Linked DNA regions of Rattus norvegicus. The protein of the gene in region 1 purifies or fractionates together with the protein of each later gene. This does not show direct contact. Links are inferred from orthologs where the notes say so. Each region holds a gene or a part of one and is shown in the gene's direction. Other genes may lie near its edges.

What was found.
Region 2: the proteins of Map3k4 (region 1) and Gadd45a purify together in Homo sapiens (co-immunoprecipitation; 3 studies listed by BioGRID and IntAct, with this or other methods). This does not show direct contact. The link is inferred for Rattus norvegicus from reciprocal best matches to the Homo sapiens genes MAP3K4 and GADD45A.
Region 3: the proteins of Map3k4 (region 1) and Gadd45b purify together in Homo sapiens (co-immunoprecipitation; 3 studies listed by BioGRID and IntAct, counting the BioPlex papers as one, with this or other methods). This does not show direct contact. The link is inferred for Rattus norvegicus from reciprocal best matches to the Homo sapiens genes MAP3K4 and GADD45B.

The regions. Positions count from the first base shown.
Region 1 is NC_086019.1:51,060,420-51,067,900, forward strand, and holds the end of Map3k4 (mitogen-activated protein kinase kinase kinase 4), read left to right. Parts: intron 1-293; coding exon 294-416; intron 417-803; coding exon 804-910; intron 911-4,777; coding exon 4,778-4,957; intron 4,958-6,189; coding exon 6,190-6,210; 3' UTR 6,211-6,698; downstream 6,699-7,481. UniProt on the Homo sapiens protein: Component of a protein kinase signal transduction cascade. Activates the CSBP2, P38 and JNK MAPK pathways, but not the ERK pathway. Specifically phosphorylates and activates MAP2K4 and MAP2K6.
Region 2 is NC_086022.1:97,482,310-97,490,339, reverse strand, and holds Gadd45a (growth arrest and DNA damage-inducible protein GADD45 alpha), read left to right. Parts: upstream 1-3,540; 5' UTR 3,541-3,690; coding exon 3,691-3,734; intron 3,735-3,823; coding exon 3,824-3,925; intron 3,926-4,010; exon of another isoform or gene 4,011-4,029; coding exon 4,030-4,267; intron 4,268-5,164; coding exon 5,165-5,278; 3' UTR 5,279-5,843; downstream 5,844-8,030. UniProt on the Homo sapiens protein: In T-cells, functions as a regulator of p38 MAPKs by inhibiting p88 phosphorylation and activity.
Region 3 is NC_086025.1:9,426,850-9,434,554, reverse strand, and holds Gadd45b (growth arrest and DNA damage-inducible protein GADD45 beta), read left to right. Parts: upstream 1-3,836; 5' UTR 3,837-4,068; coding exon 4,069-4,112; intron 4,113-4,200; coding exon 4,201-4,302; intron 4,303-4,726; coding exon 4,727-4,949; coding exon of another isoform or gene 4,950-5,153; exon of another isoform or gene 5,154-5,191; coding exon 5,192-5,305; 3' UTR 5,306-5,866; downstream 5,867-7,705.

The DNA.
Region 1 (7,481 bases):
GGCACAGTGCTCAGGCACCGCCACACACGTCTGCATTCTCTATAAACCTTTCTGCACATATGTCTGAGTTTGATGAACTGTGTGTGTCTCCCAGTTCAGAGTGTTTGTTCGGAAGCCTGTGTTGCTTTGCATTAGTTTGTAGTTATGGTCCATACGTTGTCCCGTGGTTGCGTATGGAAGTGGAGTTCCACAAAACTTTATTTAGATTGAATGAAGTCTTTGGGGTTTGGGTTACCATGTGAACGTCTTGAGATACCCACATTGTGTCTCAGCAGCTGCTTATTTCTGTTTAGGTGCCAATATCTTCCTTACATCGTCTGGACTAATCAAACTGGGAGATTTTGGATGCTCAGTGAAACTTAAAAACAATGCTCAGACCATGCCTGGCGAGGTGAACAGCACCCTAGGGACAGCAGGTAAGGGCTAGTCCAGCTGGCTCTGAGCTCTGACTTGAGGAAGGCCCCTTGCCCTCTCGGAAGGAGCTTAGCATTGGTGGGATTGAAACTGCTGTTAAATCACCAGTTACATGGCATCTACTTGTTGGGTTCTTGAGTGTTAGGTTAAATTCCCTGTTTCCATTGAGAATACAATTTACTGGAAATTTTCACACTCAAGAGTTGCTTTTTAAAATGAAATCCTGTCCCTAAAATATCCCTCAAGTTGACTTGAAAGTGAAAGCTTTCAACATTTGCCGCCTGTACTTGGGTGAAGGCCATTGCCGAGGGTTATTAACATAGTGCTTGGTGCTGTTGATACGTGGTTCTGTGTTGGTAACCCTTGCTATTCCATATCCGACTGTAAAGCTTACATGGCCCCTGAAGTTATTACCCGAGCTAAAGGAGAAGGCCACGGACGTGCGGCAGACATCTGGAGTCTGGGGTGCGTCGTCATAGAGATGGTGACTGGCAAGGTAAGCTCCCTGTGCACCAGAAGGAAGACTCCATACAGGTCACCCACAGAACTGAGGCTTTATCGTAAGTGCTGTGGACACCTTCCTACTTGAGCTCATGACCAGAGAGTCAATGGATCCCATGAAAAGGCTCAGAAAGGTGTTGCATGTAATAACCAATCCATACTGTTGCTAGCTAGGCACCAGCCGGTGGTCTCAGACTGCTCCTAGCCCTGTACATAGCCCGAGATCCAGACCCAATGATTCCTCTTGCCAAGGCCTCTCCCACCAACGCTGGCTCTGCCTCTCCAGAGCTCCGAGGTAGTGTCTTGGTCCCGTGGGCAGCTGTGGGTATGCTCTCGCCAGCCCACGCTCCACTCACTACCTTTCCCCTGGAGCTCAGTCCTGTCCCAATCTTCCCATCCCAAAGCCTGGCTGAATTCCCCCTAGGCTAAGTTCTGTCCCTCTATCCCACCCGAGTCACCAGAGAATGGAAAACACCAGACAATCTTAGTTTAGAATCAGCAGATAACACAGTCGCTGGGCGCAGAATCTATCATCCTAAATTCATCAACTGTTCTATGTTAGAAATCTGCCACCAGATCTAACTGTCCCCAGCCTACATCCTGTCTGCTTTGCTCCCGCCTCTCCATCCAAAATCAAGTGCCTTCCTCCTGCATTCCCTCTTCCTCTTTTGGACCCGAAAGGCCCGCCTCCTCCTCCTCGAACAGTAATTGACTTCTTATCATCTTTATTATTCAGTTAATTAGGGAAGAATTCCACTACAGAAAGGTTCGGAGAAATAACAAACTGAGAAGCACCTGTCCATAGGGTACACATAGGGCCCCAGAGAGCTCCTAGGAGTGAATTTGTGTTTCAGCTTTGAGGTTAAGCAGAGAAACACAAACCTGCTTGTGTCAACAAATGGAGAAAAGACAGTCTATTTGACTGATGCCAATGTGTGGACGATCTTTATCCCACACTCTGGACACCTCCAAATGGATCAGATTCCTTTATCAAAGACTGTAAATTCTGAAACTGGGCAAGGTTTGACAAAGTTGAGGGCTATTTAGGACTTCCTGGTTAGGACTCCAGTTGTTCCGGAAATAAGGCTGGCAGCTAACAGGTGGGGCCTTGTGAGATCAAAGTGCTCTGTGCAGGTTATGGGGAGATGGCCAGTTGGAAAGGTGCCTCTTATGAAAGCATCAGATTCCTAGCATGCATGTTTAAAAAAATGCTGATAACAGAAGTATGTGTCTGCAAAGGCAAAGGCAGGAGGATGTGTAAAGCTCAGAGACAACCTGTATAGTCACATTGATGGCTCTAGGTTCATGGGAGACCCTGACAGGAAATGAATGTAAAGCAATGAGGGCTGACACATATGGCCTCTGATTGCCATGCACATTTAGCATATGTCTGTGAACTCAAACACACACACACACACACACACACACACACATGTGAACATGTATGTACACTCGATAGCCTCAGTACTACAAAGAAATAGTTAACCAAGTTAAGAGGTAGCACGTAGAATTGGACAACAGTCTTCCAGCTGCACATCTGACAGGATTAATATGAGAATATGCAAAGAACTCCTAAACAGCAAACAGACTAACCACAAAAGAGGCAAGGAGCAGAACAGAGTTCTCAGAAGGAGAAATATTTTAATGAGGGCTCAACATCCTTAGCCAACAAGGAAGTGCAAGTTAAAGCTATTCCGAGGCTCCTTCCGGCCAGTCAGAATGGCTGTGAAGAAAACCAAAGGTAGTGCATATGAATGAAGGTGTAAAGATGAGCCGTGTTCACTGTTGCGGGACCATGAACCTGCAGAGCCACCGTGGAGATCTGTGTGGCAGCTTCACAGGACGTTAGATCATCATATGACTCAGCTATGCTGTTCCGAGAACACGCTGAAAGGACCACATGTCCCACTAGAGACTAGGCCACCGTTGCTGCTTTATTCACGGCATCAACAAGTGGAATCGGCCGAAAGGACCACTCAGATACATGGGATAATGGAAACATAAACTATTACTCAGCCACACACAAAAGTGAAAGCATGCAGTCTGCAGGAAACTGAATGGACCTGGAGAATACGAGAAATACCACACGTTCTTTCTCATATGCAAATCCCAGCTCCTTAATTTTAATATACACGTATTTATGTGGGAGTGGCTGGAGGTAGAAAGCTAGACAGGATTCCAGGAGAGGAAGCTATCTATTTGAGGCTTTAAGAGTGAGGAGGGAGGAGAGTAAGCACATGCAATAGGAAAGCAGAAAAGAGAAGCCGGAGTTGCATAGGGAGATGGGGGAGAGGAAGAGGTGCCAGGCGTGTGCAGGTGCAAAAGGAAAGATGAAGTCCAAAGCTGTCATTGCACGAAACCTGCACATGAATGCCTAAACTTGAAGCAGTCAGGAGCCCTTCAGTAGATACAAGGATCAGCAAGCCACACCTCCCTGGAGGTCAGCTGGATGGGTTAACAGGACTAACAAACTGTGTGTTACTGTGAGTAGCAGACAAGGGATGCTACTCACTGGTGTGAAGAAACGGGCCTCACATCCTCAGAAAGATAGGATAAGAGAAGAGAGGTACTCGACATTCCCCACACCCACCAGGCTTACCACAAGAGTCCCTTACAAACCGCCGGAGGCAGAACTGTAGGGACACACCTCTGTTACCATGGCACTTGGGAGGCTGAGGTGCCTGGGCTACATGGCAAGGCCCTATTTCAGAATGAACAAAAGATAGTGGTTGCAGGGGTAGGAGGGAAAGGACTAAACAGTGAAAGAGATACTTGGGATGACAAGATTCTTCCTTATGTATCAGTAACTTTCTTACTGTGGTACCAAATGCCTTCAAAATACAGCTTAAGAGAGAAAGCGGTCATTTTGGCTCACGGTTTAAAGTCCATCCTGACTTTAAGGCATGGCAGGAGAGCAAGAACGTGAGGCAGCCAGTGACATCATACCAACAGTTACAAAGGAGAGGGGACAGGAAGTGGATCCCAGCTATAAAACCTCCAGACCTACCTAGTAGGTCTTGCCACACCTCCTAAAGAGTCCACAACCGTCCAGAACAGCGCCACCTGCTGGGGTCATATGTTCAGACACTTTGCCCATGGGGGACAGTTCACATCCAAAGAGCTGCAGATGATGGATTCCCATCACACCTGTGTCTACACCCACAGAATGTACGAGACAGAGAGTGAACCCTGATGGCATGTTTCATTAGCAGCAGAGCAGACAGTGATTCACCAATTGTAATTAATTATGGCTAACAGGAGAAAGTGGGGGACAAGACGTGTGAGGGTGCATGGAGACCCACTGCCCTCCAGTCAAGCTTTCTGTTACTGTAAACTGCACTAAAAAGGCAGACCTGATTATTAAAAAGAAACAGATGGCCATCCTCATCTTCTCCAGAACGGTACATTTAAAAGGGAAATGAATTTTTCCTTAGCACATGAATAACATTTATAAGATTTATGATATTCACTCTAAGAGAGGTATGAGAAAACAGTCATGCTTCAGACAAAAATTCACAGTGGGAGCTCACTCTGGAGAACTGCTTTCCATAGGATGAAACTTAAACATATGTCCCTAGACCACAGAAACCTTGCTTCTGGTGACAGTCCTGCTGACTGTGATTGCACAGTGTGTGCTACATTCAACAGTAGTTACACAGGGGTGTGTGTGTGCGCGTGCGCTGACTGAAGCTCTGACACTGTATGTATGCACTTCAAGACTGATGTGTTTCCTGTTTCTTCCTCCCGGCACGTGTTTCTTCCCCTGACAGGTGTCTTCTCAAGATACCTACAGAGGGATTGGACATTTGTCGCTGTGACCGTGTAATGCTGTAGCTTGTTTTATTTTTTCCCGTCTCTGCAGCGGCCTTGGCATGAGTTTGAACACAACTTTCAGATTATGTACAAGGTGGGAATGGGACACAAGCCACCAATCCCCGAAAGGTTAAGCCCTGAAGGAAAGGACTTTCTCTCGCACTGCCTGGAAAGTGACCCGAAGATAAGGTGGACAGCCAGCCAGCTCCTTGACCACGCTTTTGTCAAGGTTTGTGTAATTGCTGCAGTCGTCCTCGTCAGAGTTAAACACTTAAGCTTGACTTTGCATCAGGCACCAGACGTTAGTGTAAAATAGTTATATCTAAAAGGACAGGAACTGGATGTCTTCACGTATCAGAGATTTGCTTTCAGTTAGTAAAGACTCACTAAGACCTCTCTACATGATCTGTTGACAGGAGATGAGCCTAGTTCTTGCCCTCGAGAATGTGTGGTCATCTTGGACCTGTCACTGTGTCTTGAGCAGTGGTGACGCATGTGTGATGGGAGGCGGGGCTGAGGATCTAGGGCCCTATGGAGGCCCGAGGCAGTGCTTTCTCTATGAGAGGGTGTGACCAGGCAGAGAGGCAGACAAGGTGTCAGGCATGAGGGGCTGCTGCGGGCAGAGTCATTGTGGTACTTTGTGAGCCAAGGTCTGAGGGAGCACAAGAAAGCGGATGTGGTAGAAGGTAAGACTGGGGAAGATGTAGGAGCAGCAGAGGGTCTCGGTTAACAAACAGCATGGCTGGTGGCCCTGCCGAGATAGCGGGCTGACAGTGGCCTCCGGCCGTGCTGAGGGGTTGGAACGACCCTGGCTGAGGAGCAGGTTGGGGGTGTCTGGGGTGGCCCCACCTCCTGGCTCCTTGAGTCATCTGAAGGTCGCATCCACCACAGCAGAACCAAACGGCAGCAGGTTGAGACTGAGCATCGGTGGTCTCATTGGCAAGACCATTTAAAGATTTGTTCAGGATTTTAGGTGGGTGTCTTGTTGCTCAGGGCCGACAGTCAGATTGCCACAGTACAGCAGGCTGTAGTAGTGAGTGGGCACACAAGTGCAGCTGGGGCAGTGTTGCAGTGTTGGGAGGGGGATGAGAACACACAGATCATAGCTAAGGACCCTGCACGGGAGTCCCTGATACAGGGTGGGTGGGCGGAACCTGGGCTGGTGTGTAGGCTGGGTACAAGAGCTACTGGGGACAGGTGATGAAGGAACAGTGCTTCTTAGCTCTGAAGTAGATGAAATATATTGCCCTGAAGGAACTGTCCTATGTTCTGCCCAGCCTTCCCTGAGAGCAGACATGGAGTAGGTCTGTTTTCTAAGTCGTCCCTCACATGTCAGGGGCTGGTGCCAGGGGGGCACTAGGCCTTGCCTGTGGGCCAGAAGCCAAGCAGGCAAGACACACAGGCAGACACAGGACCGTGCTTGCACCAGCAGGGGCTCAGCGCTCTCTTGCTTCCTCGCAGGTTTGCACAGATGAAGAGTGAAGCTCTAGTCCGTGGCCTAGCAGTGTGTGGACAGAATCCCGTGGTCACTACTGTATGTAATATTTACATAAAGACTGCAGTGCAGGCGGCCTCTTAACCTTCCAAGACTGAAGACTACACGGTGACAAGCCTCACTCCTGCTGCTCCTGGTGTCTGCAATAGCACAGGACCCCCGAGTGACAGTGTTGACAAGGTTAAAGAAGCTGCATGTTAAGTGCCATTACTACTGTACACGGACCACCGCCTCTGTCTCCTCCGTTCCCCGTGTGACATCAGCATAGTGTTCTTGAGCTTCTGGGTTCAGAAGAAAATGTAGTGTTAATCAGGTGTCCAGGACCTTGTTTCCGCCTCCTGTTTGTTGGCTCTGACTGTGGCTCCGACTGTGGAGCCTCCTTGTTGGCAAGCTGCAGGTTTGTTATGCAAAGGTTCATAAGTGAAACTGAAGAAAAGGTTCTTTTTCAATAAATGGTTTATTTTAGGAAAGCTAAGTCAGCGTCTGTTACTGGCTCGGGGCTTAAGAGCAGGGCAGCATGCGGAGGTCTGCTGATCCCCTCCCTGCCTTGATTCTGCTCAGTAGAAACAGCACAGCCAAGCCTGCCCCAGTGGGACCCCGAGCCGGGTGTGTCCAACCTGCCGCCTGTGGGCCATGTGCATCACAGGATAGCTATGAGTGTGGCCCAAGGCATTTTCGGATGACAGCATATCCCAATGTTTAAGATTGGGCATACCTGATATAAGGTGGCCATGCTTGGCTCTTACTGTGCACAACAAGGTTGGGGCTCTGGTTGCTGGTGGGTATATGGGAGGGGAACAGTGCCATGCGATCTCTTGATAGGCGACCATCTTCTCAGAGCATAACCTGACTAAGCCGGTAGGACCCTGAAATAGCCGGCTGTTGTCAGTGATGGCGTTTGTCTTGGTTGTTGTTTAGTGCTCTTATTCCCTTATTCCCTAAGTCTCTTGGATCATGCACTTGCTCCTGGCACGTAGCAGCAGACCCTGGCCGGGTCATTGTCAAGGATTTTTGGTCTCTTCTGCCAAAAGAACACCGATTTGGATTCAGAGATGTTAGGACTTCATTTAAGATGCCCTTTTACAGCCTTTTAAGTTACTCTACATCACGTAAAGGGATTCACACTGTCCTTTTATCAGAGCTGTAGAGCTGTTACACAATGTAGTTCTAGAACCTTCCTACTGCCCGCAGTAGAATTTGTCCCACCTGTCTTGGTGCAGCCTGGGGTTTGCTCACTATGGGCGTTTAGAGAAGTTAG
Region 2 (8,030 bases), on another chromosome or scaffold:
AGTCAATCACTGATGAAACGTTCCAGCTAGACTCAGCAATGAGGCAGTATGACACAAGCTTGTCTGAGTCAGGACGTATGACATGAATCTTTTCTGAATACCAGAAGACTCTTTCAAGACTTGAATAAAATGCCCTTTTTTATAAGGCTGTGCATAGCATGAAGTATACTTTTTGAGGGATAAATACTATACTTTTACTATGTTATACACGTTTTAAACTTCAAATAGTTGCCTTAAGTGGGGCACAGTAGTAGCATGTTTCATCTGAATTGGCATAAACAGTGCATGGCTCTACTATCCCACAGCTTCCATTCAGGGGCTTTCAGCTTAGCTAGCTGATGACAGTGAATACCATTTTGTCCTAAAATCCAGTTGAAACATATGTATGATGGCGATTCTTGGTTGTCAACTACACTACATCTGGAATTATCTAAAATTCAAAAACATAGCACTCAAGTGAAGAAATTCTTTGCTTAATTTGAAATAGGAAGATCCACTTCTAATCCAGATCTTAAGGCAGGAAGACACGCTCCTTTAATCTGGATCTTGAGGTGACAAGACAAGGTGGGGAAGATATACCTTCAATCTGGGCCACACCTTGTGTTGGAAGCTTATACATGGAAAAAGGAAGTGTTTGCTCATTGCCTGCTCGCTCTAGCCTTGCTTGCAAGTCTATTCCTTCACTGCCATTAGAGCCTACTTCATTGGGATTTCAGCACATACAGAAGACCAGCTGAGACATCTGGCCTCATGGGCTGAACAACTTCTAGATTCTTGGACTTTGTTCATAGCCAGCCATTGTTGGATTAGTTGGACTGTAGACTGCATGTAAGTCAACTAAATCCCCTTCATATGTGTGTGCGTGTGTGTGTGTGTGTGTGTGTGTGTGTGTGTGTGTGTGTGTGTATTCATTGTATATGTTCCACTAGTCTAAGGAACCTTGACTAATACAATGGATATACCAATTAGATCACGAGGTTTTTGTAGAGAAAGGACAAGAAATTGTTTAGGGCTTGTATTTTTTTTTTTTTTTGAAGTGATGTCAAAGGTGAGTTTTCTGAGAATTCATGCATAGGACTGTAGGATCACGAGGTGCTGATTAATTCTCAGATTATTTTCAACTCATGACACCCACTGTACTACTGAATGTAGGACTTGTTGAGGACACCAAGCTGATGAAGTCATAGTCTTTGCTGTCACATGATCCTCTAAATCTTTGTCAGCTTGCATCCTTCCAGAGAACTTCTAAGAAATGTCTAATGGGTAGAATCCCAGAGTTCTAGGGAACACAGTTTATTAGTCTTCAAATGATGACTTGGATCAGTTTGTGTAATGTTGGTTTTATGAAGCTGAAAATGTTTAAGTGACAGTTACCTGTCTTGCTCCTGGAACAAAATACCTGGTGGAAGCAACTTAAGAAAGGAAGGGTTTATTCCTCGGTACTCCATCATGGGAAGGCTTGACAGTCAGAGCTGGAAGTGGCTGGTCACATGGCGTCCTCAGTCAGGAATGAACCAAAATGCCCATGCTTAGCTAGTTTGCCTTTTCACATGCAGTGAAGACTCCAAGCCCATGGAATGGTTTTATCCATCATAGTGGGTCTTCCCATCTTAGCTAACCTAATCTAGATGGTCCATTACACAATGTCCAGAGGCTTGTTTTAGTGATAATTCTAAATACCCACAATCGAAGCCTAACGAAATATTGAAATTTCGTCCCTGTTGCTGTTTTGCAGCAGATCAAATCCTGGGCCTGAGCCTGGAACATGCTAGGCAACTGCTCTGCCATTGAGGAAGAATCCCAGGCCCAATCCCAATGTTGGGGAATAAATATTCATATTCATTCTCTCTCTCTCTCTCTCTCTCTCTCTCTCTCTCTCTCTCTCTCTCTCTCTCTCTCTCTCTCTCTCTGAGTGCTCTAACTGCATGTATGCTTGCATGCCAGAAGGGGGCATTCGATGCCATTATAGATGGTTGTGAGTCACATTGTAGTTGCTGGGAATTGAACTCAGGACCTAAGGAAGGACAGCCAGTGTGCTTAATCACTGAGTCATCTCCCCTGCCCTGAGGAATTCCTTAACAAGCATAGCTCATGTAAAGATTTAAGGCATAAGTATGAGGTACACAAGCATGCTGACGCTTGTTCCTTTACTCAGATATTGTCTCTTGGGGACATAGCACTTAGGGATTAAAAGGAAAGTTGTCTCCAATAAGTGAACTAGAAAAATCAACCTATCAATTTTCCATTAAGATTAAGAGAATTGGAAAATATTTTGTCCACAAGAATAAACACTTAAGGATGCAAAAGTCACATGTACTTCTGCAAAATTTACCTCTCTAACTGCCCAGTGACCTCAATATAAGCACTGTTAGGAATGCAAACCATTTCACCATTTCACCATTTCACCACTCTTGGTGACTAGTAGGTTCAGGCAATGTTTTCGTATTTATTGAATAAGCTCACAAAAAAAGGGGGTTTTGAACTATGCAGTAAAAGTTTACATTAAAAATTGTTTTTAATTTGTAACTCCTGCTTACAGTTATAAAGGTTTGCCTTCTACCTACAAGTTGCTATGTCTCAAAGGTGAAATTTTAGCACATGGCTAAAATGAACTATAGTTACAGCTTCATGATTCAGAGTGAGATCATAGGCAACAGAAGGCAGTGTCATACTCTGTGATGGGAAGTCTAGGGGGCATCATGAGCATCTCGAATTTAGACTGTGGTTACTCTGAATATCACAGAATTTGTCTCTTAGCTCTTACTTGATTAGAAGGAGCCTTCTTCAGGAAAGGTTTTAAGAACGGTGAGCTTGGCTCGTTAGACATGTGATCACCAGCTTACAAGGAGTGGGGCAGAAATTTCACCAGCTTTTTGTGGAAAAGATTCCAACTCGGTACTGTGCCATCACTACACACAAATGTGCTTTTTTTTTCCTCCCTGGAGTTTCAAATTCTCACAACCAACCAAAACCAAATCAAACCAGCCATCAGGGCACCAAAAGAATACTACTGGGAATAAGCAGCTTAACCTGTAACTTGCATATAAACACTCTGAAGCAAGCTTTGCCTGGTACGTCTGAACACTTAAAAATATGCTTACTAATAACAACTAGACTAGAGTGCATTAACCCCTGGAAATAAATTTTAAAAAGCAGTCCCTTAACACAAAAGAACACGAAACGACAATCAAAAGATGTCCACAACCAGAGAAACAATTGGCAGGCTGTTTCAGTCAGAGCTGAGGACACTTGAACCACTCCAAAAGCCCTCTGCACCAGATGGCTTCACAAACTGTCTAGAGCTGGCTCCGGACCCCACCAACCGGCTTTCTGCACCACCTTCGTGCCAGGGGCTCCCTCCCGCATAGCTCCGCCCCCTTCCGCTCAACTCTGCCTAGCTTGGTGGAGCTAGCGTCAGAGTGTCAAAGTCTGCTAATTTGCATGACCCAATGACCTGGCTGCATGTAAATGAGGCTAGCCGTGGTTGGCTGAGGGCTAGCCCCATATCTCCGGATCGGACCCTTTGTCCTCCAGTGGCCCCGAGGCAGCTGTGCAGTGTTCCCCAGCGAGGCTAAGCAAGAAGCCGGCGAGAGCAGAGACGCGAGGGTGGGAGCCAGCGCAGAGCCGGCGCCGGGCACTGTGGGGGCCAGGAGCAGCCCGCGCGCCGCGTGAGGGACTCGCACTTGCAATATGACTTTGGAGGAATTCTCGGCCGCAGAGCAGAAGATCGAAAGGTAAGTGTGCCTGCGGACTCGGTGGCCGCCACCCCTACGGCTTCGCGGCCCGGAACCCTACTGACCCGCTCTCGCCCTGCGATCTGCAGGATGGACACGGTGGGCGATGCCCTGGAGGAAGTGCTCAGCAAGGCTCGGAGTCAGCGCACCATAACTGTCGGCGTGTACGAGGCAGCCAAGCTGCTCAACGTGTAAGTGGCCCCGGCCACCCGCGCCCCCCGCCTCCCGCTTACCCACCCGCTTCTACCCCGCGCTCCCCGGAGCTTGTACACTCACCGTTGCCCACTGTCTGTAGAGACCCGGACAACGTGGTCCTGTGCCTGCTGGCTGCGGATGAAGATGACGACCGGGACGTGGCTCTGCAGATCCATTTCACCCTCATTCGTGCTTTCTGTTGCGAGAACGACATCAACATCCTGCGGGTCAGCAACCCGGGTCGGCTGGCAGAGCTGTTGCTACTGGAGAACGACAAGAGCCCCGCTGAGAGCGGGGGCGCTGCGCAGACCCCGGACTTACACTGTGTGCTGGTGACGGTAAGAGACCAGGGGCTGCAGCTCAGAATCTGCTGGGGTGGACCTTGTCCGAGCTGGACGCTGATCTCGCGGGGGTTCTGATACTGTGAGGAGCGTGTCTAAGCTCATGGGTGGCCTCCAGCGGCGGATGATATCAGTGAGTCAGCAGGCTACCCAGCTACCCCTGCCTACCTCTGCACTAGCTCGTGTGACTAATTCTTTGAGCAGAACAGATTAGATAAAGCCACATTAAGTTCCCGGTTCACCCTTCGTTAAGAAGTCAGCTTCATTCTTCATTTGCTGTCAAAGCTAAAGATAGAAGTCGTGTAGGAGACAGACCTTATTAACTCCCTGGATATAGATACTCTGTGAAGTGTACGGAGTGGAATTCTTTTCTTTGCTGCTCTTGAGTTTGTTTAAACGAGCCCTCTCCACCCTCCTCCCCACCGCTTAAAAATGTGTGGTGGGTGGATAGTGTTTTCAGAAAGAAATGTGCTGCTGTCTCGGTCTTCTGGTTTTTTGTTTTTGTACTCTTTTGACTTGTGTAGGGAAGTGGTAGCCTGATTATTTGTGCTGCCAGTGAAAAGTGCTATTCATTGTCAGGAAAGATAAAAGAGTTCAGCTGCCCTCCCTGCAGCTCTCACGGTGCACACAGCCTGAGAATGTTTTTCAGAAGTATTTTACTTATGACTCCACCAGGGTACGTGCTTGGAAGGGCAGTCTTGAGAATGATAACTTCATGAAGAGTGGGGTAGTTAATATGCAAAACTGTGTGGCTCAGTGTGCATTACAGGTGTTTAGACTTGGCCAAACGCTGTTTGGCAGAATGTTTGGGGTTTGGCCCTTTCAAAAGTAGTACAGCTAGTAGCATACGCTGATCATATTATGGGGAAGTAATTTTTCTAAATCTGTTCTCAGAACCCACATTCATCACAATGGAAGGATCCTGCCTTAAGTCAACTTATTTGTTTTTGCCGGGAAAGTCGCTACATGGATCAGTGGGTGCCAGTGATTAATCTCCCCGAACGGTGATTCCCCGAACGGTGATGGCATCTGAATGGAAATAACTGAACCAAATTGCACTGAAGTTTTGAAATACCTTTGTAGTTACTCAAGCAGTCACTCCCCACGCTGATGCAAGGATTACAGAAACTGATGTCAAGGGGCTGAGTTCAACTACAGGAGGGCTAGGAGATGACTTTGCAGAAGGAGAGAGAGGTGAGACTGAAGGAGGAAGCTGTGTGGAAACAGAAATCCAAGTCAAAAGGGACAAAAAAACTACAAAGAACTGTGCAAGAAAGAAAACTATTAATTTAGGATGGCCGGGTTACAGTAAAGTAAACCAAATATTGCTTTGTTGAAACTTTAAATGTGTAGCAATATTTTGGGTATTTTTTTTGGTCTTCATGCCCTCAAATAAAAGAAAAGTGAAAAGGGTTAATCATATTTTCAAGCCACAGTTTAATGTATTTTGATGAGATGTTAAATTCTCAGAAGTTTTATTATAAATCGTACTAAGTTATTTTATGATGTGAAAGGTTATTTATGATAAAACGTTTTTGAAGCACATTATCTAAAATAAACTGGTATGGAATAACTGTGTCGTTTCTCAATGTGTGGTATGTGTTTTCCAACATGGACTCTTATCAGACTTTGTATTGAAACTTTGCTTTAAAGCCACCAGGCAGAAAGATGGGTGATGGTAGAGGGTTTGGGTAAGGGCAAAGGGAATATGGAGAAAGAGTCACCTTGCAAAGTCTGAATTACAATGAATTATTAAAATGCTATAATTAATTGCATGCAAAACATAGAAGCAGAGAGGAGGGTTACCAAAGCTGCTTGAAGATAAGTGAAGCTTTTACTGAGGGGAAAAAAATCATCTTATTGGAGGCTTAAGAAATGAGCTTAGTTTCTCTAGGTAGAGACAGGGAAAGGGTATTGCTAACAGCTACAAAAGTTTGTGCAATGGTGCAGGCATGAAAGATCAGAGCCCGCAGAGAGACCTGCAAGGGTGACGCTGCGTGCCTCTGGTGTAGGGAGATAAGTGAGAGAGAGGGTTGGAAAGGTGGGGGTTCGACTCAGATGCTGACAGGAGTTCTTACATCACCATTATGTATTCGAGCTTCCTTCTGTGAACTTGCCACAGTCTGCAGAAGGAAGTGACATGGTCAGTGTTGTAGGTAGATAACATGGGAGGTAAGGGGTAGTTAATAGGGTGAATAGCTGTAGTTCCCAGTGTAAGGTAGTGAGAATGTTTTGTAGAACCATGACAAAGGGCAGGTTTCTCATGTTCTTAGCCTCTTCCCAGGGCACTATAGCTTCAGCCGAGCATTTCCACGACTGCTGCAAGGGGTCTGGATATATTAGGGAAGAAGTGTCAGAGAATAAGGAAAAAAAGACTTCAGTAGAAGAAGCCTTTGTACTGTCTGGTCAGTAGCAGGCCCATGTAGGCAGAGCCAGGGAACCCAAAGGGACATGCTGGAGAAAAAGGCCTGCAGAGCTGTAGTCTCCACTGTTTGCAGCTCCCCCCTCCCCACCCCCACCCTCTCTCTGGAGCTCCTTGGGCCCCTGTGTTTGTCAGCCTTCTTGTGACCAGCAGGGAGGGCAGAAGAAAACATACCCTTAAGCTTCTGCGCATCTTGTATGGCCTTCTTTTGTTTCTACTCTTAGGAATGTGGATTTCTAGGCCTTATTTAGTCTTCTTTTGCTTTAAGCCAAGGTGTAATCCCAAACAACTGGAGTAACAACATTTACTTTTTATATTAGCAGGAGATTTGAGAGCCATGCCTTTCAGGCAAGACCTTTAGCCTTCCCGCTAGAGGCTCGTCCGATCTGTTTCTACAACTGTTGCAGTTCATGAAATAAGTCAAACCAAGTAGGAGAAAAGCAAGTGGAGAAAAGCAAGTGGAGAAAAGCAGCTGTTTGCTGGAAAGAGCATGGGTGGCAGCCATGCCTCCCTCCATCAGGCCTCTCTGCCCTGATTCACTCAGGTGTAAAAGTGAAGAACACACTACCCAGCCCACAGCGTTGCCTTTTATAGCTTTGTCATCTCGTCATCTGGAAGGATGAGCTAATACCGGGTCGTAGATGTCTGCATACATTAGGTGATGAGTCAGTATTGGTTAAATAAGTGGAATAAGTAGAAATCATCATAAATCCAAGGCTGCAGCTTTAGTGAGAGAGCCTGTATGAGATCCTGCAGTGTCCCTGGCCCTGGGAAAAGTAATTACTACCTGGTACGTGGTATTTGCTCAGATCATAGCAACAGGAAAATATTGAAAGCCTCACAGAGATTCGTTACTTACCATACATATTATTAAAAAGGAGTTTGAGTCACTTAAGTCCCAGTGCTTAGTGATAAGAAATAGCAGGATCCAGCCTTAAGGTTGATCCGTTTCTGACAGGCTCAGCAATAAGTGCAGTTAGGTATTCTTTTGATTTTTGTTTTGTTGTTCCTTTATGAAGTAACTTAAACTTGGGTTGAAAAGAAATTCTGAACCATTGGTTCAGTAGGGCGCTTGCCACCCAAGCCTGACAGCCTGAGTTTGATCTCTGAAACCTAAAGGAGAAGAGACTTGATTTCTCAGACTCGTCTTTTGACCACATGAGTGCAGGACATGTGCACATCCACCTGTCCACACGCACACACACGCAGACACACATGCACGTACACACGCACATCATGCACTACATTAATAAAATTCAAAAGAAGATAAATCTATAAGTATAAGTAAAGTATGCCTCTAACTTATGCTAATATTTAGTTAATTGCTTTAGAAATTAG
Region 3 (7,705 bases), on another chromosome or scaffold:
CAAGCAAAATGTGGAAGCCCACCTTAGCGTCCTCTCCTGTGGGTCTACTGAGACCCTGTTTAGCTTTTAGACAGGCTCTTCACTATGTAGCCCTGCCCGTCCTGGAACTCACTCTATAGACCAAGCAAGCCTCAAACTCAGAGACCTGGCTGTCTCTGCCTCCTCCTGCGGCAGCACTGGCTGGTTACGAGACTCTTACATTAGCTGCTCAAGGGAGATGGATCCATTTTGGCTCAGAGCTCCAGACAGCAGCCCACTGTGGTTGGAGAGTGGAGGCAGCAGGCACTTAAGCCTTGCACCCAGGGCTTTGCTCTGTTCCCTTTCTTCATGCTTATAGTCCAGGGGAGAGTGGTCCCCACAGTTGAGATGTTCCCCCACATCAATTACCATAAAAGAATCTCCCATAGGCGAGCCAAGAGACCCGTGTCCCAGGCGATTCTGCCATGGTGACCAATAGGACTGGCTGTCACTCACAAGTGACCCTTAGGCTGGGGCAAATGGGACCCTTGGGCGGGGCATTAGCGTAGGTAGGGCTCTGGGCTAGTCTATTCAAGGGCCCAGAGCATGGCACAAACCAGGTGTGGTGGCCCATGTAACTCATGACAACAGGATTGTCGGGAACTCATAGCCATCCTTGCCTCCATAGTGAGGTGAGGCCAGCCTGGGCTACATGAAATTCAATCTCAAACAAGTGGGGGGAGCCAGAGCAGGGACCCCACAGGGGTGCTTCAAGGAATCCAGACCCTTCCTGGTGGCCTGCTGACCAAAGCCAAAGCAGCCCCTCCCAGAGCTCTGGCCTTTGACCTGGAAGTTCCCACACCAGATCCTATTTCCGGTTCTGTTGTGAGAGTTTTTGTAGTGCCTGCCCGGCCCCAACAGACCCTCACCTCCTCCTGACTTCCTAACCTTTCTCTGTCTAGCACCGCAACAACTCACGGTGTCTCTCTAGAAGCACAGCATCTGGGTGTTGGGTTGTTGTGTATTTTGGTTATCCCTCTTGACTTTTTATGTGCACTGTGTTTTGTCTGCATGCATGTCTGTGTGAGGACATCAGTTCCCCTGAAATTGGAGTTGCAGATGGTTGTGAGCCGCCATGTGGGTGCTAGGAATTGAACCCTGGTCCTCTGGAAGAGCAGCCACTGTTCTCACCACTGAGCCATCTCTCTGCCCCTGCTGTTTGGGTTTTTGAGACAGGGTCTTACTGTGTAGCCCAGGCTGGCCTGAAACATACTCTGTAGCTCAGGCTGGACTGAAACTCAGAGATCTTCCTGCTTCTGCCTCCAGTGAGTAGGATTAACGGCGTGTGCCACCACACTGTGCCTTTTCTTTTTGTTTTTGTTATCTTTTTATTAAAAAAAATTATGTGGGGGCTGGAGAGATGGCTCAGCCATTTCTTAATTTCTTAAAGAGCACTGACTGCTCTTCCAGAGGTCCTGAGTTCAATTCCCAGCAACCACACGGCGGCTCACAGCCATCTGTAATGGGATCTGATACCCTCTTCTGGTGCGTCTGAAGACAGTGACAGTGTAGTCATACATATTAAATAAGTAAAATCTAAAAAAAAAAAAGTTCATGTATTCTGGTTTTGCCTGCAGCTGTCTGGATTCCTCAGAGGCTGGGAGAGGGCGTTGGGTCCCAGACTGGGTTACACTATCCTGACCCTGCCTGATGTGAGTCAGGAATTGAACCCTTATCCTCTGGAAGAGCAACCAGTGTTCTTAACGGATGAGACATCTTTCCACTTCCACCCCCAGGTTCCAAACAGGGTCTCATTTAGCTCAGGGTAGCCTCATACTCACTACGTAACCCTGGATGATCCTGACCTACTGACTGATCTTCCGGTCTCTTCCTTCCCAGTGCTGGGACGACAAGTGTGTGCCACCATATGGTTCGTGTGGTACAAGGATGGAAAGCAACGCCTCCCCCATGCTGGCTAAGCTTTCTGCCCACCGAGCCATTGCCACAGCCCAGCAGCCAACTTAATTATTAAACTATGCATCTAGTAAGTTTACTTGTGTGTGAGGACGACATACGCTTCGGAGCATCTACGGAGATTAGAAGACAGCTTGCAGGAGTCAGCTCGTATCTTCCGTCCTATGGGCTCCGAGGATTGCTTGCTGGCCAACTCTACCTGCGGAGCTGTCTTGCCCTTCATGTTTGGTATTTACAATATACTGTATGTATAGCGCATGTCAGGTTGCGCCACAGCGGTATGTAGAAATCGGTGATGAGCTTCCCGGCATCAAGAAGTCCTGGATTCATCACCAGCATCGCAAAATATTTAATTTAAAAGAAAAAAATCATTGCAGGTGTTCTCTCCCCTCCCTTTCCGGAAACTGCGTGAGCAGAGACCTCGTGGGACCGCCAGGTGTCGCCGCAGCGCCTCTCACGCCCGGGACATTTCGCACCTTGGGTGGGCGGCGCGGAGGATGCAGGATGCGTCACCAGACCCGGGATGGGGGATCCGGCGAATCGAGCCGCGCGGCTGAGGCCAGGACCCAGGCTGGCGGAGGAGGGGACTCAGGGTGATTCACCGGGAGCCCCCGTGCGCTGTGGGAGAATCCCACGCGGGGTCTGTCTGCCTCCCTCATGTCCTTGCCGTCCGCTACCAGCCCTCATACTGTGGCTCACAGAACGCCCTCGGAGACCTCAGTTTCCATTTTGCACAATGCAGATAGCCGGCCAAACCTTGGAAAGATAAATGACACTCATGGAAGAGGGGGCCTGTGGTTCATGCTGCGTACTACAAAAATGCCAGGGACATAAAAGGGGCTGCCGGGTTGGGGATTTAGCTCAGTGGTAGAGCGCTTACCTAGGAAGCGCAAGGCCCTGGGTTCGATCCCCAGCTCCGGAAAAAAAAAAAAAAAAAAAAAAAAAAAAAAAAAAAAGGGGGCTGCCTTTCAGCCACCACTCCCAGGGGGCAGCACCGGATCAGGTGTGGTGACGCGGTCTGAGGATAGACCGGGAGGCAGCCGGCAGGGGGCGGGGCCGCTCCGGAGAGCGTCTGGAAGGCTCTTCACCTGCGCCTCCCCGGCTCATCTGAAACTCGGGGTGCCAGGAGCGGGGAAAAGGGGTTCCGGATCTTTCCTCCTGGGATCCCTTAGTGCTCTGCAGCCAGGACCCCTGGGGCACCGCCAAACCACCTACCACGACCACTGGGAAGCTTCCTGTGTGCCTCTCCCGCGACCCCCGCCTGAGGGGGCTGAGCGTTCTCAGAGCACCTTTGTATGCGCTGGTGGGATGCCTTTGTAGTTCTCACTTTGGGGAGAGGATCCCACGGTCCTCAAACTTACCAAGTGTTTACTATATACCTTAGACTTATTTAAACACTCTCCAACTCTCCAAGGCCGAGCTGCAGACTTAGCCTCCTGGCCCATGCACATCCCTTCTTTTAGAGCTTGGGAAAGGCTAGGGACTCTCCGGGGACAGGGAGGGGATTCCAGACAGCTCTCCCCGAAAGTTCAAGCCAGCCTCTCGCGCTGGAAACCCCGCGCGCGGCCTGCGTAGCGCGGCTGCCGGGAAATCAGGAGAGAAACTTCTGTGTTTTTTTTTTTTTTTTTTTTTTTTTTTTTTGTCTGTGTGTGTGGTTTTTTTTTCCTCTCTCGATTCGCTGGCAGTCGCCGCTGCCTGGGTTCACGCTCCTCCCAGCCCTGACCCCCACGTGGGGCCGCCGGAGATCCGAGCTCCGCCCTTTCCTACCTCCAGCCAATCTCAGCGCAGGCTACTCGGCTCTTTGTGCCTCCACCAATGGATGGGCGGTGCATGCCTCCCCTGGCCACGCCCTCTCCCGGGCGGTCTTATAAGCGGCTTGCAGCGCCGGCGCGCTCACTCCGCGTCAACCCGGGATCCGTGTCACCTCCGTCTTCTTGGATTAATTTCGAGGGGGATTTTTTTGCAATCTTCTTTTTAATCCTGCTTTTTTCTTGGGAAAGTAAGTCCCACCGCCTCCGGAAAGCCTCGGACACTTCTGGTCGCGCGGGAAGGTTTTTACCTCTTGGGTTCGGATCTGGACGAGTGCTTTGCCTTGGGGATCTTCCGTGGGGGTCCGCTGTGAAGTGTGACTGAATCATGACCCTGGAAGAGCTGGTGGCGAGCGACAACGCGGTTCAGAAGTGAGTACAACGGAGACCGAGGTCTTCTCGCCCGCCGCCTGAGGTCTGCTGGGCTGTCATCGCCTAATCTCCCCATTTGGCCTTTTAGGATGCAGGCGGTGACTGCGGCGGTGGAGCAGCTGCTGGTGGCCGCGCAGCGTCAGGATCGCCTCACCGTGGGGGTGTACGAGGCGGCCAAACTGATGAATGTGTGAGTCAGCACCCCCTTTTCTCGGGCGTGGGTGGGGGCGCCCCTCTGATGCACGCGCGCTCCAACATCCCTCTAGGGCTCGGGGCTTTGGGGGACTTTCCCAGCGCTCCTGGGAGTTGGGGAGTGGAGGGCGACATTTCTCAGAGAATTTTTTGGGAGAGGGAAAGAGACTCGCTGCAGAACCCTGACTTTGCAAGTTTGAGGTTTTGTGTTTTTTGTTTTGACAAGCAATCCCAATAACTTTGGACTGCTTGCTTCCTTCCTCCCCGCCATCAGTATTTGCATAGTCGGCCACCCCGGCACCCTTGCACCCTGGGTCTTGCTCACCCCTCCCCCTGAGGTTCCCGGAGCTAATGCCCTCCTCCGTGCATGGCTACACCCGCTCCTGGTCTGGCGTCCCTCTGACACTCCTTCTTTCCTGCAGGGACCCCGACAGCGTGGTCTTGTGCCTGCTGGCCATAGACGAAGAAGAGGAGGATGATATTGCTCTGCAAATTCACTTCACCCTGATCCAATCGTTCTGCTGCGACAATGACATTGACATCGTCAGGGTATCAGGCATGCAAAGGCTGGCGCAGCTCCTGGGTGAGCCGGCAGAGACTCTAGGCACAAACGAGGCCCGAGACCTGCACTGCCTCCTGGTCACGGTGAGTGACCCACCCCGCCCTGATCACCTGGGTCCCGTGTTTGTCAACATAGCTGGGCTGGCTGCTCCAACACCAGCTCACTGCCCAGCCATGCTCGGCATGTCCCGTGGGCTGCCTCGTCACCCTGGCAGCTATTTTGAGCTAGCCTGTTTTTCTCTAATAGGGCTTCTGGAGCTGAACAGAGGCTCCCTACCGAACTCCTAGAGCTCCCACTAAACCCTTTCTTTTTCTCCCTCCAACAGAACTGTCATACAGATTCCTGGAAAAGCCAAGGCTTGGTGGAGGTGGCCAGTTACTGTGAAGAGAGCAGAGGCAATAACCAGTGGGTCCCCTATATCTCTCTGGAGGAACGCTGAGGCCCACTCTAAACACCTAAAGCAACTGTTGAGTTGCTGTCCCCTAAAAAAATTAAATAAAATACATATTTGACAGCGCCCCCTCATTCCCCAGAACAATCCCTCAAAAGCTACCCTACCCGTGATACCTTCCGGGAGGGGCGGAGTCACCGAGACTGAGACGAGGAGAGGGGAGTGTGCGCCCGCCCGCCCCCTGGGCTATGGAGCCAGGAGCCAGCACCACAGGTGGTCGCCAAGACAGGAAGGAGGGGACCTCAGGCTGGAGGAGACAGAGACTTTAGAGCCAAGGCCTGGCAATCATGCAGCCAGCCTCTGCACGCAGCAGCAGACGGTCTGGACACCGCCGCAGGGGTGGGGCGAGGCGTCCCCCACCCCGCTGGACAGTGAACTGTGCGTAACTCAGCGGAGGGCGGCGACCCTCGACGCGGGAGCCGGGACTCGAGCCCGGGACTTCGCAGCTAAGGCACATCTACTTTAGTATTGTGCTGAGCAAGACAGATCGCTTGCATATTTTTTAAAAATTTCTACTACAGAGACATTCCAATAAACTGGTTAAGCCTTCCTGTTCTCGTTGTTTTTCCCACTTGCCCACCGCCCCTTCTGGCTACCCTGTGTCGCGCCACCGGCCACCAAGCCGTGTTAGGAGCTCTGAGCTCCGCAGCTCCAGACGCTACTGCTGTCTGTTGTAGGCGCCACCACCCAACTCCAGCTTCATAGCAATTAAGACGCGGGTTTATTACGAAACCTGGCGGCCCATCCCCCACTGTTACCCACTGTGCTGAAGCTGGGGTCTGGGAACGCCGGGAAGATGGCTGCAATCTCCGTCACCACCCTACTGAGCGATCACCTCTCAAAGACCAGAGAGGTGCTGAGAACATCTGAAGTCGCTCAGCAGGGGCTTCTCGGGGAAGATTCCTGACCTCCCCTGGGGACGCACCCTAAGTTTCTTGTTCCTGGGATGGGCCCTGTGGATGCACAAAGGGAAAAGAATGCTTTTTCATTCTTTCCCCAAGCTTAAAATCAACAGTAGGAAACACCCTGGAAGCCTTGGCACTCGCCGCATCTCGCTCCAAAACAAAACCGTGCGGTCCTTCCCAGGGCTTCCCTTCCTCGCCAGCCTCAGTTTACCAGCGACCTTTCCACCAAACTCCTCGTGGGTGGAGAAAATCCCCGGGGTCGCCCTGGGAGTCACGCGCGGGGGGAGCCCCAAGGAGGGGAGTCCCCAGGGGCGGGGTGTAGGGTTTGGAGGAGGGGAAGGGTATCTGGGGTGCAGGGTGTGGGGGAGGGTAGGAGCTGGGCTGTCGCGTTTGCTAGAGCGCTAGCCATGGGGGCGGGGAGGAGCGAGTGAGGGGGATTAAAAGTTTTGCCACACTCGTCTTTGAGTGAGACCCAGGGACGAGGGTCACCTTGGGGGTCGCCCAGAGGCATTAGGATGCGGAAATGAACAGGTTAGAGCGGGAAGGAGTGAGAGGTGGGCAGGGGTAGGCTGGAGGGCACAGAAAGGATATGGGGTGTCGAGGTGTGGACTATTGAGAGGAGACTAAGCCTCGGGCTCCCAGTCTCGGCCTGCAGGCAATGGCCCCAGGCAGGTCCATGCTAGTTCTTCCCTTAGGGCTTGTAACCTGCGGTCCCTTTTCGGACCTGGTGGCCTCCTTGAACAAACAAGAGACCTAACACTTTTTTTTTTTTTTTTTTTTTGCCTTGTCTCAGTTTCTCCCTCGGTTAAATGTCCTCCATTCCAAAGTTCTGAAGTTTTCCTGGCAGAAATCGCCTTGAATACCTGGTTCGCTGACTCAGCCATACCAGCCTAGCGTCTGCCTTCCACACTCAAAACTGCCCCAGCCTCATTTTCCCCCAGAAAAAGATACTGGCGCTCAGAGCTTAGTTTGCAGTCTGGAATTATGGGTGGGGGAGGGGGAAAACTCTAGCCGGCTGAGGAGAGACTCCATCCAGTCAGCAGGGAGAAGCTGTCCCAGGTCATCGAGCTTCGGTCCTGTCCTGGACTGCTGCTCCCCTTAGGGACATCATCCTGTGCCAGGAAACGTGGGTGTGTTATTGGACGTTAAGCAGGAAAAACTTGGCAATGCGGATTTCAGGCAGATGGGCGTGGCGCGCACGCACGCTCACGCATGCACACGCAGTCCCCCAGCACTTGGTTGTAGGAACACCAGCCCCTGCACTGAGCTACTTCCGGGTTTTACTCCTGTTCCTCTTGGCCGAGTTGCTCAACTTCTCTGAGCTGGCTCTCTGTGACACACGCAGCCCATATGAGCACCGGCTTGTACAAACAGGTATATGTTCACGCAGGCCGGTATCCCCTGGAATACAATACGACCTTCTTACAGATCCATGGCGGTCGAGGGACACTCTGCCTCAGTAGCGCCCGAGCTTCTGAGCCTC